Mus musculus: one gene and its partners. The protein of the gene in region 2 interacts with the protein of the main gene of each other region in a pairwise test. Links are inferred from orthologs where the notes say so. Each region holds a gene or a part of one and is shown on either strand. Other genes may lie near its edges.

Region 1 (4,330 bases), on a different chromosome or scaffold from region 2:
AAGCTCAGAAACGGAACTCACCGACCATCAGCAGTCATCCTGATGAGAGCCACCTCAGCTGGCGTTCCCACAAATGCACCAGTTGCACCTGCAGTCATGCCAATCAGGGCTTTCAGAAGAAAGCCAGGGGGTGTACCATCAGCCCCAGTCAGGCGCTCAAACAACACAGTATATATTCCAAGGCGAGTAGTGGTGTAGGTGGCCTGGCGCAGTAGACCAGCTGACAGCCTGAAGAGTAGAAATGTCAGCACATCAGGCCAAGGTCTGGACCTGCCAACCAACAACTTCCCTCCCCAACTTGAGGCCACAGTACCCAGTGTAAATGCCCTTCAGGCCTTCTGTCTTCAGGATGCTGGTGAGGGCATGGAAACTGGTTTTGTACTCTCGAGTCTTGGCCCCTTCACCACTCAACTGCATCCGGTTCTTCACCAGGTCCAGGGGCTGCACAAAGACTGTAGCACCCATCCTGAAGTGAGGCAGGAAAGGGAATCAGAGGTCAGTGGTTCCAGCTCTACTGCAACCTGGCAAGAAGTTACAAAGGTCAGGGCCACTAAGGATTCAGGAGGCTGGTGGGCATGTGTGTTAAGTGTGTGCATCAAGGGCAACGTGCCAGCAAAAGAGTCCAGTTGCCCAGTAAGGGGCATGCAAATCAAAAAGCCTCAGGCAGTTCTTTAGGGTTCAAGCAGAATTAGGACTACAGGCGATCTAAAGAAAGGTGGAGAGGGCGTCCCCATCCTAAGACTCCAAGCAGTCCTATAACAAAGCCTTTAATGACCTATACCCACCACCCAAACAGGCACAACGAAGCAAAGGTGGTGGAAACACAGGGTAAAGATCCTTGAATGCAGCACAGTTGGGTCCCTGCAAAGGATGAATAGATCCTGGCAACCCATCAGGGACCCTGCACCGGCTCAATTTACTGCAACACACCCCAAGTTACACTGGGCCCAGGTGCTTGCTCCCGTCCCTTCCTCCTTTTCCCCCATCACTGGGGCCTGAGCTTACCCAGCCAGGCCCCCAAACAGGAACTTGACAGACTTAGGGGAGGTACGGGGTTTCCCGTCCATCCGGCCAGCCCCAGGACTCGCCGTCGCCGCCATCGCCCCTTGATGGCCCTCGGCTTTGGGTCCCGTGCACGTACAGCCCCGCTCGCGCCCAAGGTGACACCAGCGCGCAACAGGGTGAGGGCGCGCGCGCGCACGCCCCTCCGACAGGCAAATCTGGCTCCAGCTGGAAGCTGGGGCGGGCGCAGGCTCGGAGCGCAAAGGCAGCCGGGGAATAAGGCGGGGCTAAGATGCACGATGAAGGGGCGTGGCCGATTTAGGAAGCTACCCTAAATTCCCGCCCCTCCGGAATTGGAATCGCGGGGAAAAAAAAAAAAAAAAAGCTTGTTTGAAAACCTCGCGAGAGCAAGTGAATCAGCCGAGTTCGGGCTATGAGGCCTCTCGCGATATATTTCAGCGGCGAAAGGGGGTGGGGGGGTGGAGGGAGGGTGGTGGCAAGCACTCTCGCGATACTTTGAACGTACCGTGGCGGCCAGACGAAGGAGAGGTTTGTAAACAGGGCAGCTCCAGGATCTCAGGGACTGAGGGAAAAAAACTAGATCGTCTCCTGAGCATCGAAGCTCCCTCCATCTCCGCAGGCTCCTTCTACATGTCAAACATTTCTTTCAACCGGCCTCTCGGGACCGGAAGTCCTCCGTCCTGAGCGTCCAATACTGGAATTGGCCTTTCTTACCGGAAACCCTTTTCCAGGGGCATAGGAAGACAGTCTACCTGGCCGGAAGTCCCACCTCTTTGAGGTTTCTCCTACCCTTCCGGAAGTTTTTTTGTTGTTGTTGTTACCTGTTTGCCTTCGCTCCTATTCTGTCCTATTTCTGTACTAGAGAAAGATACATTGTCTCCCCTACCAGCTCCGCTAAGCTGGTTTGATAGCTCACTCCCTGAATCGGAGTTCCTTCCCCGACGCCCCCATGTAGCTGAGAAGTGGGACCTAGGGGTGGTTGGACCCCTGGGATCCTGAAGGAGAGGCAGAGGAGGGCGCAGGACTCGGCTTCTGCTCCTGCGATCAGAACGCGACCTTCGCAGCTTTACCCCTCCCGCTGCCATGCACCCTGCGGCCTTCCCGCTTCCTGTTGTCGTGGCTACTGTACTGTGGGGAGCAGCCCCTGTCCGAGGGCTGATTCGAGCGGTGAGTCTGAGGGTCGGACGGGGACAGGGTGCTGAGAATGGGGTTCAGACTGAAACACGTAGTGTTCCGTCTGCAGACTTCGGAGCACAATGCCAGCATGGACTTTGCAGACCTTCCAGCTCTGTTTGGGGCCACTCTGAGCGACGAGGGACTGCAGGTGATGTTTTCCCCATTTCCCTATATGGATCCTGGGTAGGGGCGAAGTGGCCGTGCTCAGGAGGTAGGAAGTAGTGGAGTTAGCAGCGGAATGCAGTGGACTGCGGATAGTTCAATGATAGGGTGCTTTTTCTAGTATGAGTGAGATTCTAGGTTGAATCTCCAGCAAAAAAAAAAAAGTGTCCCCAATCCAGAAAAACCTAAGTGCATGATCATGTCCAGCGCGCAGAGTCCAGAATCCAGAGATAATAGATAGTGCCCACCTCTAGAACTTAACATTTTTTATTTTATATGCATAGGTGTGAGAGTGTCAGATCCCCTGGAACTGGAGTTACAGTCAGTTGTGAGCTGCTACATGGATGCTAGGAACTGAACTCCGGTTCTCTGGAAGAACAGCCAGTGCGCTTAAGCACTGAACCATCTACAACCCCTAGAACTCCCAAGTTTAAGAGGGAGTCTGAGAGTGGGCTAAGATAAAAAGCAGGTGCTTATCAGCAGTCTCTGGAGCAACTTACTGTTTGTATAGATGGCCATGGACAGCTTTTTATGGGTTCTGAGTCAAATGAGAAATAGAAATTAACCTAGGGCTATCGTGCCAGTGTGATAAGCATGTCTGTAGTAGTTCACTACAAAGTTCATGCCACATAGCAAGAATTCATTCGGCCACAGTTAGCAGTAGAGTTGTAAGATGGCTAATTGGAAAATGAAACTTGTTGAAAATGCCATGAATGAGTAGCAAGGTGAACCACTATCGGTGGGAAACTTAAAAGCAGAACTAAACTACGCTTGAGAAGTTAAGGGAGCCTCTGGTAAGGGATGTAGTTTACTGTAACTGCATCTTCAAGAAAGCTGAGAGATCCCTTTTCTTTTTTCTTTTTTTTGAGACTGGACTCTGGAACTCTGGCTGTCCCCAACTCACAGTAGTCTCAAGTGCTGGGATTAAATGCATGTATCACCATGTCTGAGTTGTAGATTCAGTGTTGGGTGGGATGCTCAGACCTCCAGAATGAGCAATGATAGAGCTGCAGAATGCAGGTAGTATATAGTGTTATGTGTGGTAGGTCCTGTGGAAGACAGAACTAAAGATGAAAATGTTTGCCTTTATCCCTCAGGGGTTCCTTGTGGAGGCCCACCCAGAAAATGCCTGCGGTCCTATTGCCCCACCACCCTCAGCCCCGGTCAATGGGTCAGTCTTTATTGCACTGCTTCGAAGATTCGACTGCAACTTTGACCTCAAGGTTGCTGAATGGGGAATGGGAGGTGGTAAGCAGGGTACATGACACCAGGAATGAAGGGCAAGGGTTACAGCTCTATCCCTCCCGCTTGGCCTCCTTAGGTCCTAAATGCTCAGAAGGCTGGGTATGGTGCAGCTGTGGTGCACAATGTGAATTCCAATGAACTGCTGAACATGGTGTGGAACAGCGGTAAGGAAGAAGCCTGCACTACTGGGTGCACCGTGGAGTTGAGTGGGAGGGCAATTGGTTGAGATCTGCAAAAAGTGCCAAAAGCCAGTTTCAGGGAATTGAGGAACAGAAGGCTAAATCCCTAATATCCTGCTCCTTACAGAGGAAATCCAACAGCAGATCTGGATCCCATCTGTATTTATTGGAGAGAGAAGCGCAGAGTACCTACGAGCCCTTTTTGTCTACGAGAAGGGGTAGGACGCATGCTTTCTTCCAGTTCTTCTCAATCCACTCAGGCTCAGGCTCTTCCTCGGCTGCCTTGACTTTCTCCTCATTATGCCTTGTCCCAAGCCAGTAACCCTATTTTACCTGGCTTGAGGTTGTGTCTCTCTCTCCTCAGGGCTCGGGTGCTTCTGGTTCCAGACAACAGCTTCCCCTTGGGCTATTACCTCATTCCTTTCACTGGGATTGTAGGATTACTGGTTTTGGCCATGGGAACAGTATTGGTAAGTAGCTGAGGAGAACTTACGATGCCAGACTGGATCGGTAGAGGGGAGGGTTTATTGCATTTTCCAATCATT
Region 2 (4,003 bases):
TACTTTTTTGGTTTTTCCAGACAGGGTTTTTCTGCATAGCCCTGGCTGTCCTGGAACTCACTCTGAGACCAGGCTGGCCTCGAACTCAGAAATCCGCCTGCCTCTGCCTCCTGAGTGCTGGGATTAAAGGCGTGCGCCACCATGCCCGGCGCTCAAAATGTTATTTTCAAAGTACCTCTCAGCACCCACACCATATTGTTTTAAACTCTACTAACCACTTTCAAATAGCCTCTCCACGTTATTGCTCAATTAAATAATTTTACTCGTTTCTCTTTTCTCCACTCAACTATATTCACTCAATACAAGCGCCAAACACCTTTGTAAGTTTAAAGCTCTTTCGGCCTTCTATTTCTTCAACTGTCACTATAATAAATACAGTTCTTCACATGCTTAATCCAGTCATTCCCACAGCGTGGCCGCTGAAAAACGGGCAGCAGGGAGCTTGCTAGGAATGCCAATTCTTAGGTCCATCCACACTCTAGAGATAGGTGCTAACAATCTTAACCAGCTCTCCAGGGATTCCGAGGCACTTTCAAGTTTGAAAAACACCTTAGTTCTGCAGTTCAGCATTGATTATCTAAACAGGGCAAAGATGTAACTTCTGGCTTTTAAACCCATCACAGGCCTCTTTCTGGCAACACCTGTATCAATTACAAGCCGTGGGACACAACCATTACACAACCTTAAACATCTGTAATACCTGAGATGACCGAATAATAGTTGCCTTATCATGGTTCCAGAACAAAAGCTACGGCAGTGGATTTCCCGGGGGTTTACCAACGGACGCTGGGCAGGACCCAGTTCCTGCATAGCTTTTTCCTCCGCTAGACACAGGGAGGCACTTCGAGCCCGTGGGTTCTGGGTCTGGCCGAGTTAGAGCGGGGCTCGGCCCGGCTAGGGCCGGGGACACCCGCCAGGCCGGGCTCCCACCTCGGGTCCCAGCCTAGGGACTGGAGGTCTCTCTGTAAAGGAGGCCGAGGGGCAGGGGAGGACCCGGCAGGCCCAGACCCCGCGGACAGGCCGCGAAGCCGCACCCTCCTGGCCCCAGCCGCCGGCAGGGCGGAGCCACGCGGCCGAAGCCCCGGCTGAGACGCGCGGCGCGGCGCGGCGCGGGCTCGCTGCTGGAGACGTATGGGGCTCCCACTGGAGCGGCTGCGCCGCCCGGTCGGGTCAGCGTGGTGCGCATGCGCGGACCCGGCGCCATTTTGGTGGCCGGGCGCGGAGGTGATTCTACAGTGAGGAGGAACGCGACGGCGAGGGTGGCAGTGGCAGCGTTCGTGTGCTCGGGTCTGAATCGCTGAGGGAGGAGGCGGCGGCGGAGGAAGAGGTGGCAGCGGTGGCGGTGGTCGTAGCGGTGGCGGAGGAGGCGGGTACGAATCAGCTGCGGGCAGAGACATGGCCAACATCGCGGTGCAGCGAATCAAGCGGGAGTTCAAGGAGGTGCTGAAGAGCGAGGAGGTCAGGAACGAGCTACCGGACGCCCCCATCTCAGCCCCGGGCGGCAGGGCCCCTTCCTTCCGCGACCCCCGGCGGGCCCTGGCCGGCTTCGCTGCGGCCGCCTCTCTGCCTCTGGGGAAGCGGCGGCCTCCCCTCCTCCTCCCGCCGCCTTTCCCTCCCCTCCCCGGGCCCTGGGAGAGGCGGTCTCGCGGGCGGCTGGCCGGCCGGCCGGCCTGGGGAGGAACGGGGTTTGGAGGGCCGATGCCGAAGCACTCGTCGGGGGCACGTGAGCTCTAGAGGGAGCCCCGAGGCGGTGGCGGCAACATCTGGAAGTGTGACTAGGCGGTGGGGAAGAAGGAGCAGGCCGAGAAAACCCGGGAAGTGGGTTGGGGGAAGGGGAAAGGTAGTAACTGGATCCCCCGGCCGCAGCGCACCCCCCAGGCCCACGCTTTTCGGGGTGTTCTGGAGATCGCCGGCCGGGGCCTTTGCTGTCTTCTCCTTGGGGAAGGAACCTCCACAGTCTTTAGGTATAGACGAGGGGAAGACTTTGAGTTACTCCCTTCCAGTGTAGTGTTGGGGGAAAGGGAGACATAATGGGAAGGGAACTGAAACAATTTCCACTACAGATAGAGAAATAATTCCGAATGAGGTGGTAATCTCTTTTCTACGGACCCAGCCCGTAACTAGGCCTCATCATTGACATTTAAAGCTTTTAGTCTGGTCAAAGGCAAGTTGTTTGTTAATTAAATGATTTGAAGTAGGGAGAATAATGGAGTGTCTGAGTAGCCTATTTCAGAATACTGTTTACCAGTGTCAGGCTCTCCTAGGGCAATGCCTCTGTGACTAGTGTTGTACTGTGAAACTTCATTATGATGTCCCTCATAGTTAACTTGAGTCTCACTTTTAAAAACAGGCCTATTAAAAAACAAGGGATTTCATCAGATAACACGTTATTGTAGTTCACTATTGAGTTAGGTTTATTTTTTTGACACAATATTATAGCAGGAAATAGCATATTAAGAAAAATAAAACTCCTAGTACATTGTAAGTCTTGCAAATTTTAAGTACATTAATGCTTGCCAAATTTATTTATGTGAAATATTGAGAGTGATTGAATAATTTTACTCATCTGTAAAAGTAATAGTACAACTTTTTCCACCTAAATCGACAAAAATGCTAGCTTTTCTATGATTGAACTTAACAACAAAATTCTGTAAGTAATTATTTTTTTCAGGTTTACATGTTTTTCTTCTAGGCTTGCTTGATGCTTTGATAATGTCAATTATGATCTTTAAAATTAAGCCTTTTAAGCACATGAGGAACTGTTACAAATCTTGTAGCTCTCCACCTATATTTGTGCCTTCCAGCTTGCAGATCATTAGCCATCGTCCCAGTAGACTTGTAGAAAGTCACTTAAAATTGAAATGACAATATTAGCAGATTTAGTGAGCATACTAAGAAGTAAGTAGTGATCTGCCTTACGTAGCATGAACTCTGACCTCTGTATTCATTTGCCAAAACTCTGAATGGAAGGATGACTTTGTATTTTTTGTGGAACAATGCAGAAACAGTGTGAATGGCTGTATTCACAAATTTTTAACGGTGATTTAAACTTTTTAAATAAGCAAACTTAGTTTGGGATTGTTTATATATATATATTCTTTTTTTTCCCGTTTTTTTGAGGCAGGGTTTCTTAATGGAAGATAATACCTAATCTTGTTGGCCTCAAACATCTATAATAAGGTGGTAGGAGTCTTTAGACTTCTCATGCTTTCTTTTATCTAAAAGTGTCAAGTTACTGCCCTGAAAATCGATATATTCTCTTTGCTTCCTGTGGTGTGACTTTTCCCAATGGTGTTTGGTGTTTAAGTTGAAGGTTTTCAGCATTTGTATGGCTCTGGCAGTGCATATTTAACTGATGGGTTAAGGAAGTGGCTCCATGGGTAAAGGTGGCTTGCCTGATGACCTGAGTTCAGACTCGAGGACCCACATGGGAGGTTTTTCCTTTGACCTCTACACCCATAAATGCAAATAAAATAAAAGCTCATCCTCATGTACAAGATTTAAAAAAATTGTCAATGGATCTCAGGAAGAAAATAGGAAATATGAACACAAGTTATTCAAGAATGGTCCCTTTAAAAACCTAGCAGGGAACTCATTTCAAGGAACTAAGTTGCAAAGAATGTTTTGGAAAAGATCAGATGAAATTTAATATTGTAAAACACACACACACACACACAAAACCAACGTATAGCTTTATCCTCACAGATAGTTTATTTCGTTGACATTTTAGTAAGTCAAGTCCAGTTCCGTAGATAGGTTGTATTGATTTTCACCTCAATGAAGGACCCATAGTGCAGTCTATATATTTCCTTTTTAGTGTGTAAATGTGAGCTTTTGAATAGTTGGCCAAGTAATTATTTCACCATGTCACTTCATGCAAATCTCCAGTATATGAGGTTTAATTCATTTGGTAGTGTTTTAATAATTTTGGTGGATCTGATGACTTTTTTTTTTTTTTTTTTTTTTTGCCTTTTTTGTTTAAAGTGCCTTTGTAAAAATAGCT
Region 3 (3,560 bases), on a different chromosome or scaffold from region 2:
CTGAGAAGGTGTCTTGTGCTTATTCTTCAGAAACAGATGAAGTTCCTGGAGCAGCGGCAGGATGAGACCAAACAAGCTCGGGAGGAGGCCCACCGACTCAAGTGCAAGATGAAAACCATGGAGCAGTGAGTCCCCAGCTGGCTTCTATACTGTCCTTTCATACCTAGGGCACCAGGGGGCGGATTCTCAGGGCTGCAGCTGAAAATGGGTCTTGTTCATCTTTGATTCAGATTCCCAGGTGCCTTTGGCCACAGATTTCCTTTTTTAACCTCTGTGGGCCCCTTCCCTTTTTGTGAGTCCTCTCATTACACTTCTTGTTCTGTTGCCTATGGATAGGTGGCTTGCCATGCCTTTCCCTCCAGGAGCCTCTCTGTGTGAAGTCCCTGACCTTGAAGTCCTCTGTCAGCACCTCTTTTTCCTCAGAAGCATCCCTGGAGCTGAGCTCATCTCTGCTGTAGAACCTTTCCTTGGGCACACCCACCTGCTAAAGCATCCTAGCAGCCCAGGCTGTTGCCATAGCAACAGCAGCAAAGGGAGGCAGACTAACCATCAGCCTCCAGATTTCAAATGCCGTGGGCCGGGAATGTTTTTCAGAATTGAGCTCCTACTCCAGAGCCAGCGGTCTGAGGTGGAGGAGATGATTCGAGACATGGGTGTGGGACAGTCAGCGGTGGAGCAGCTGGCTGTGTACTGCGTGTCCCTCAAGAAGTGCGTAAGCTCGGGCGTGCCTCTGCCATCATCTTTTGTAATGCAGATACTGTGAAGGAGCAGGTTGTAGAACCATATTGTCGTAAGGTGAACTCTAGCTCTTAGGCTACTTCCGAGGCCCCTCTGACCTCCACTTTTCTGCATGGAGAGAGGGGTTTGCCCTTGCTGAGAGAAGAGTATGGATGCAAGTTTTGTCTCTGAGGAGCTCATGCAGCTCTCAGCAGTGAGCTCCCTCAGGAGATCTGGAGTCTTCTGCATTAGCCCTGTTTCTGACCCTGCCTGACTTCCATAGCAAACTCCCCATATCCTTCATTATGGTGGTGACAGGAAGCTGGAGAAAGGAGCTGCTTGCCTCCATTTGGGGTTGTAGGGAGCCCCCTAGTGAGGCTTGCATGCTCAAGGCGCAGTTCCTGAGTGTGACCAGGATTTGTTCCTCCACCTCATTACACATGCAGGGCCTGCCAGGGGCCCTGGCAGGCGGGTGAGGAGGAGCTCATTTGTGAGGCCTCTGTTAAGCTGGCGCTATGGCTTAGTCACAGCACCGACCATGCCAGTCAGGGTGTTCTGTTCTGTGTCTCTTCTCATGGCTGCTTTGCAGAGAGTATGAGAATCTGAAGGAAGCTCGGAAGGCCACAGGGGAACTGGCTGACAGGTTGAAGAAGGATTTGGTGTCCTCTAGGAGCAAGGTGACTGACTGGTGGTGACAAAGGGAAAGGGAGGTGGGTCTCCTGAGCTAGGCCATCCATGCCCACACCACTGGGCCAGAGAAGGTGGCCTACAGACACTGGGTATGCCTTTTACTGTGCACTGTCTCAGACTCTGGCTTGTCACTTGGGTCCCCAGCACACACTCATGCCACCTTTTGCTCTTCTTGATTCCTAGATGCATCTTAGCTGGCTTGGAGAGCACAAACCTCCAGTATGGTAGCGCCAGCAGCCCACTTTATACCCCATCCCAAACCGAGGGTTCTTGGGCCTGCTGCTTTCCTTCTGTAGGCCGCACTGTGTACAGAGACACGCTTGCCCCCAGGCAGCCCATATTCATGCTTAGTTGATGTCTGGGGTCTCCCCTGTACCTCCGGTTTTTTTTTTTTTTTTTAGACTACCCAAACATACACTGGATAGCAGCAGGTAGGGGCAGGTCATGTGGCACCACTGGCTTCTCCTTTCTTACAGTTGAAGACTCTCAACACTGAGCTGGATCAGGCCAAGTTAGAACTGAGGTCAGCCCAGAAGGACTTACAAAGTGCTGACCAGGAGATCACGGTGAGACACCCTGGCCTGTGGGAAGTGAGGGGACCTGAGGGGTTATGTGCCTCTAAGGGTAGGGCTGGACTGTTTCTGCCTGGAAACCTGTGTTACAGTCATTGGTGTTTCCGGGCCCTCTGTATCCTCCTGGGTTGGAGGTGGGTCAGCATATGCACCCTAGTCTGGCCTTGAGCCTGTCCCTCCTCAGCAGAGGGCTAAGGGCACCGTGAATCTTCCTCTGTCGTCTGCTCAGTTCTTACCTCCAAGGCGGTCCCTAATCTCCAGAGCGAGTATGCCACCAAGCGGAGTTCTCAGGCCTGGCTGGTGTTGGTGGTCAGCCCTCACTCTGTTCCCTGTGCCCTTTACACAGGCGTTTCTCCTTAGTGCCACAACCTTTCTCTCAGGTTCTCGCTCTCCTTTCTCCAGAGCCTAAGAAAGAAGCTGATGATCCTCCAGGGAACCTTGAGCCTGCCTCCGGCGACCAATGAGACGGTCAGCCGCCTGGTTTTTGAGAGGTTTGTTACCCTTCTGGGGTGATTCTGGATCACAAGCTAAGAGAGCCTGCGCTCCTGGCTTTGGTGGGATAGATGTGTTTATGGACCTTCTGACCAGAGAGCCAGCCAGGCTCTAACTGAAAAGCGGCTTTGAGAGAATTTGGGGTCTGACCAGGAAAGGCAGAGAAAGCCTTTGAGTAGCCTGAGGACAGGGCAGGGGCAGTGGTTGTCTTGGAGTATCCTGGAGTTTCTCACCACATGCGTCTGTCTGCCCCATCTCTGAAACATACTTGAGAGTGCTCACTCTAAAATAAGCCCCCTCAGCCTGGTGGTGTTGGTGCACGTCTTTAATCCTAGCATTCGGGAGGCAGAGGCAGACAGATGTATCTATGAATTCAAGACCAGCCTGGTCTACAGAGAGTTCCAGGCCAGCCAGTCCAAAATAAATAAATAATCCTCGCGGGTCCAGGAGTGTGCTTTCAGGCTGCCAGCAGAGGGAGCCAAACGACCCAGGGATTGGTGTCCCTGCTAGGAGCAAGCTTCAGTCTTCCTGAGTGTTTTTCACAGAAATGGGCTGGCTAAGAATATCCTCAAGGCTGTCTTCTGCCTGCTACAGGACCCCAGCAAGGGAGCCAAATTAAAACTGTCAACAGCCCAGAGTTTTACTTAAGTCACTTTTTAACATATTATGGCAAATCAGTATGCCCTTTCTTTCTGCCAGTGCAGTTTACCCATTCAGTGCCTTCCAACACTCCACTTTCCTCCTGGGTACTGTGGCCCCTGACTCCCCATCTCTCAGTTCCTCAATACTGTGTCTCAGGACAGTCATGGAGCGGGCTTAGGTTTAAATGGTTTCCTAGGATCCTGCCGTGTCACAGCCAACCATAAGAAAACACTTCTTCCTGCTTCCACAATTGCTTCTTTTCTTTCCTATCTGAAGGCTCTGTTTGTGCTGGCCAGCTTCCTCAGCCAGATAGCACATTGTGTGTGTGCTTGTGTGTGTGTGTGCCTCATGTGTGTATTCATGAATGAGTATATTTGTGTAAGAGTGTGTGTATGTATTATATATACATATGTATGTGTGCATGAATGAGTATGTGTATGAAAGAGT
Region 4 (4,182 bases), on a different chromosome or scaffold from region 2:
TTAAGGGTTTTAACAAATTGGAACTTTCCCCCAAAGTTAACGGAAGATACCCTAATATACTCTGGATTTTCCCTACCCGCTTTCCCACAAACTTTCATTCCTATTTCATATGGCTTTACTAGGAATTAAATGGGCCTTTATCAGGCCTATTCAAGAATGCACACTTATTGTTTCCGCAGTGAGTGCAAAAATATCAAATTCGTGGCTTAGAGGGAATGCACAAGGTACATGCTTCTACCTCATTCTTCAGTTCTAGCATTCTTTCTTTAAACAAAAAAGTATTATAGTAGAAGACTGCATCTGTCACTTTGTTTAAAATGAAAATTCAAACTCCACAGCAGCAGCGTAGGCTGACCTTTGAATATGAGATCCTCCTGCCTTGGTCTCCTTGAGTACATACATTACAGAGTCTAATGAGATCGTGGGGCAGGCCAGCCTGGTCTAATTCCAGAGCTGGTTTCAGGACAGCCAAGACTAAAGAAAAACTGTCTCAACCCCCCCCTCCCCCAACTCCAACACCAAAAAAACAAGCCAAAACACACACACACAAAAGGTGAAAAAAGAAGAAAAGAAAAAAATTGTATGGAAGAAAAATCTCTGCGGAAAGGGGGACAAGAAACGCAATCCATATGGCGGGACAGCTCTGGAGACCACCGCCCATTGCTTTCGTCACAATCCGCCGCCGCACCTGCCCGGGTTGCCAAAGGGGCCGTGCTGGCCATCACCGCCCCCGCCCTGCCGTGGGCAGTGGCCCGAGGGCGGGCTGCGAGCCGCGCAATGTCGCAGACTGCGGCTCCGGGGGTGGGGGCTTCACGGTGCTGCACGAGCCTCACTCGGGCTTAGTCCCATGAGGCCTGCGCACCCCGGCACTGAAACCACGAGACGGCGCAGGACCACCGCTCTTCCGGCCCGTGACGGAGACCGAGCGTGAGGCGCGCCGGGGCTCAGGGCATCTGAGGTGACGCCGGCGGGCCGAGTGGAGGAGACAGGGGGGCGGGCCGGGGAGGGCGTGGGAAGCCCGAGAGCGCCAGTGAGAGCCGCGGAGGAGGACAGGCTCGCCGGCGGGCGCCGGAGCGGACAGCGGTGGAGCCGGGCCGCCGGGGGCGGGGCCAGCGGCTCCATGGCGGCTCTGGGGGGCGGGGCTTCGGCGCGCGCCGTTGATAGAAGCTGCGGCGTAACCAATGACTGCGTCTTCTACCTCACCTCCCGCTAAGCTCCGCCTTCACGCTGGTGTCCCCCGCGGAGAATGGGCGGGACCTGCTCGTGCTGCTGCCTTGTCTCAGGGTTCCGCCCCGCCCCCGAGTCCCGCCCCCGTCCTGACGCAGGCCGCTTCCTGAGCGAGCCGCTTCCTGACTCGATTCCCTCCCCCCTCAGGGCCCTCTCCGGGCGTCGGGCTCAGGGCCGCCACCACCACCACTACTACCACCACCACCTCGGCTCCTGCCGGCGCCGTCGCCTCTCCCGCCCACCCCTCGCCATGTCCGAGGAACTTTCGGCGGCCACGTCCTACACGGAAGATGATTTCTACTGCCCTGTCTGTCAGGAGGTGCTCAAGACGCCGGTGCGGACCGCGGCCTGTCAGCACGTGTGAGTGGACGCCCCTTCCCTCGTGCGGCGCCCCGGCCCGGCCCGGCCCCTCCGAACCCGTGCCCCGCACCCCCTGGTCTCGTCCTGGTCGCCAGCTTCCTGCACCCGGGGGCGGTGCTCGGGCCCTGCGTCCCTCGGCGTCCTCGCCAGGCCCGAGAGGAATCACAGAGAACGTGGAGCCTTTTTTGTTTCCTAGCAATCCTTGTGGAGACCCGGGCGTTGGGTGCTCGGCCTGGGCCCTGCAGAGGTGTGCGGGCCCGCCGGGCTACCTGCCGGGGGTGCCGCGCTTTTCTTGGCTTTCCTTGGCTTTGTAGCCCCTAGCCCTGTCGGTGTCAGCAGCAGCGTCCCCGCCCCCCTTGCACGCCCGCTCAGCCCCATCCTTGAGCTAATTTAACAATTCAGTGATAAAACGGCCCAAGATGAGCTAGCTTCCTTCTCCCACCCCGAACCGGCAGGATTTCCGGGGCTCGAGATAGCTCCCTTTGTGCTCTCCTTATGTTTATTATTGCTGGGTGATGACAAGAATGGAGGCAAGATACCGTTCTGTTAGAGGAGGTGTTTCCTCCAGGGATGAGGTGGATGGAGCACAAAGGCGCTGGCTGGGCTGGGCAAGGTGACTTGAGGTAGGTCTTAGTTGGCATAGAAAGAATTTCAGTCATTTTCAGGACAACCAGTGTCAGTGGGAGTTGGAGCCAGCCCTTGAGAACGTACACTAAGCATCTGACAAGCCCGAGTGATGAGCAGAGCCCTCGAGGAACTTTTTCTTTAATGTGTGTGACAAGGTCTCATGTAGCTCTGACTGGCTTCAACTCACAGTAATCCACCTGCCTCTGGGATTGAACGAATAGGGGATAGGCTCCCCAGAGGGACTCTTTATAGCAAAGATAACCAGTTCCTAGGCTCCATCCCGAAGTTAGAAATGAATTTTTGGCAGGTGGGGCCTGAAAAAGTTCTGTGTTTTCAAATAGCTGAAAAGAATTCAAATTTCTAGATAAGGTCTTCCTTCCACTATTTTAGTTTTGTTATAGTTGTTTTTGTTTTTTCAAGACAGTGTTTCTTTGTGTGGCCTTCGGTATCCTAGAACTAGGGCCTGGACCAGGCTGGCCTGGAAGTAAAGGCCTGTTCTGCTGCCTCGAGAGCCACAGGCCATAGACACACTTTTTTTTTTTTTAAAGTCATGATATTCTTAATTTTTCAAGGCAGGTAGGAGCCAGGTGAGGTGGTACTTGGGAGCCTCAGACAGATTTTGCTTTTGAGGCTAGCCTGGTTACCTAGTAACTTCAGTCCACTGGAACTACCGGACTATACACCAAGCAAGATCTTGTTTCAAAACACAATCAACCAACAGTACCAATATTCTGACAATCTCCCTTCCAGAAACATTTAAAAAATAAAAAGAAGTGATAGATAGAATTTTGGGCCTTAATCAAAAAGTGTAATTTTTTTTGACGTTGATAATCTTAATTTAAAAAAAAAAACTTGTACAATATATTCTGATGATGGTTCCCCTCCCACCTGCCCCCCCTTTAAACATATCATTTTCATTGATTCTCTAGGAATTTCACATCATGCACCCCAAATCACACTCACTGCCCAGACCTTCCATATCCGCCCCCAACTTTTGTGGACCTACCCCACCCCCATGAAAAGTAAAAAAATACAGAAAAGAAAGTCCAATTTATGTTATTCATATACTCACTGGAACATGGTCTAACTCTTAAATGCCCACCTCTTAAATAGAATTGAGTGAGTCTTTCTCCTCCCACACTGCCACCAGACGCCTTCAGTTGTAGAGAGCTAGTTTTCAGTGTCCATATCACACTTTTTTTTTTTTTTTTTTTTTTTTGGTTTTTCGAGACAGGGTTTCTCTGTGTAGCCCTGGCTGTCCTGGAACTCACTCTGTAGACCATGCTGGCCTTGAACTCAGAAATCCACCTGCCTCTGCCTTCCAAGTGCTGGGATTAAAGACAAGAGCCACCACTGCCCAGCATATCACACTTTTAAACAGTTTTCTTTGACTACCTTTCTGTCTAGATTGCCACCTGCCACTTCTTTATCTCAGTATTTAGCAAACAATCAAAAAAACTTCGAGGGGCTGGAGAGATGGCTCAATGGTTAAGAGCACTGACTGTTCTTCTGAAGGTCCTGAGTTCTGTAATGTAACCATCTGTAATGAGATCTGATGCCCTTTTCTGGTGCATCTGAAGATAGCTACAGTGTACTTAGATATAATAATAAATAAATCTTAAAAAAGAAAAAAAAAAAAAACTTTGAGCAAACCAGAATAAAAAATAAACACAAGAAACAAACAAAACCACAAAAAAAAAAAAACCAAAACAGAAAATGTAATAAGTAAGGAAATGAATATAAAACAAGTTGCTTTGTAGTTCTTGTTGAACAGTGAATTTGAAAAAAAGAATGAGGAAAAGTTTTATATAGATGGGAAGGTAGGTAATGTTGGAGTGTAGTCTAGATTGACTAGATGAATGGGGTGTAGAAATTGATTTGTTTTTATAACTAGAATTTAGAGTACTTTATTAGTTTATTACATCGTTTTTTTTTTCTCACAGAATTGTAAACAAGTTTATATTTTTC

What was found.
Region 1: the proteins of Ube2k (region 2) and Rnf167 interact in binary tests that used the Homo sapiens proteins (3 or more experiments, as listed by UniProt). The link is inferred for Mus musculus from reciprocal best matches to the Homo sapiens genes UBE2K and RNF167.
Region 3: the proteins of Ube2k (region 2) and Traip interact in binary tests that used the Homo sapiens proteins (3 or more experiments, as listed by UniProt). The link is inferred for Mus musculus from reciprocal best matches to the Homo sapiens genes UBE2K and TRAIP.
Region 4: the proteins of Ube2k (region 2) and Rnf138 interact in binary tests that used the Homo sapiens proteins (3 or more experiments, as listed by UniProt). The link is inferred for Mus musculus from reciprocal best matches to the Homo sapiens genes UBE2K and RNF138.

The regions. Positions count from the first base shown.
Region 1 is NC_000077.6:70,645,763-70,650,092, forward strand, and holds the start of Rnf167 (E3 ubiquitin-protein ligase RNF167 isoform 1 precursor), read left to right. Parts: upstream 1-1,472; 5' UTR 1,473-2,106; coding exon 2,107-2,190; intron 2,191-2,252; exon of another isoform or gene 2,253-2,266; coding exon 2,267-2,347; intron 2,348-2,645; exon of another isoform or gene 2,646-2,830; intron 2,831-3,458; coding exon 3,459-3,584; intron 3,585-3,682; coding exon 3,683-3,770; intron 3,771-3,912; coding exon 3,913-4,003; intron 4,004-4,149; coding exon 4,150-4,255; intron 4,256-4,330. Other genes in the region: Slc25a11 (mitochondrial 2-oxoglutarate/malate carrier protein), read right to left, coding at 22-228, 314-466, 1,006-1,100.
Region 2 is NC_000071.6:65,536,089-65,540,091, forward strand, and holds the start of Ube2k (ubiquitin-conjugating enzyme E2 K), read left to right. Parts: upstream 1-1,156; 5' UTR 1,157-1,395; coding exon 1,396-1,458; intron 1,459-4,003. UniProt on the Homo sapiens protein: Accepts ubiquitin from the E1 complex and catalyzes its covalent attachment to other proteins. In vitro, in the presence or in the absence of BRCA1-BARD1 E3 ubiquitin-protein ligase complex, catalyzes the synthesis of 'Lys-48'-linked polyubiquitin chains.
Region 3 is NC_000075.6:107,960,948-107,964,507, forward strand, and holds part of Traip (E3 ubiquitin-protein ligase TRAIP), read left to right. Parts: intron 1-30; coding exon 31-125; intron 126-594; coding exon 595-708; intron 709-1,306; coding exon 1,307-1,394; intron 1,395-1,883; coding exon 1,884-1,973; intron 1,974-2,359; exon of another isoform or gene 2,360-2,381; coding exon 2,382-2,470; intron 2,471-3,560. UniProt on the Homo sapiens protein: E3 ubiquitin ligase required to protect genome stability in response to replication stress.
Region 4 is NC_000084.6:21,000,583-21,004,764, forward strand, and holds the start of Rnf138 (E3 ubiquitin-protein ligase RNF138), read left to right. Parts: upstream 1-1,374; 5' UTR 1,375-1,477; coding exon 1,478-1,587; intron 1,588-4,182. UniProt on the Homo sapiens protein: E3 ubiquitin-protein ligase involved in DNA damage response by promoting DNA resection and homologous recombination.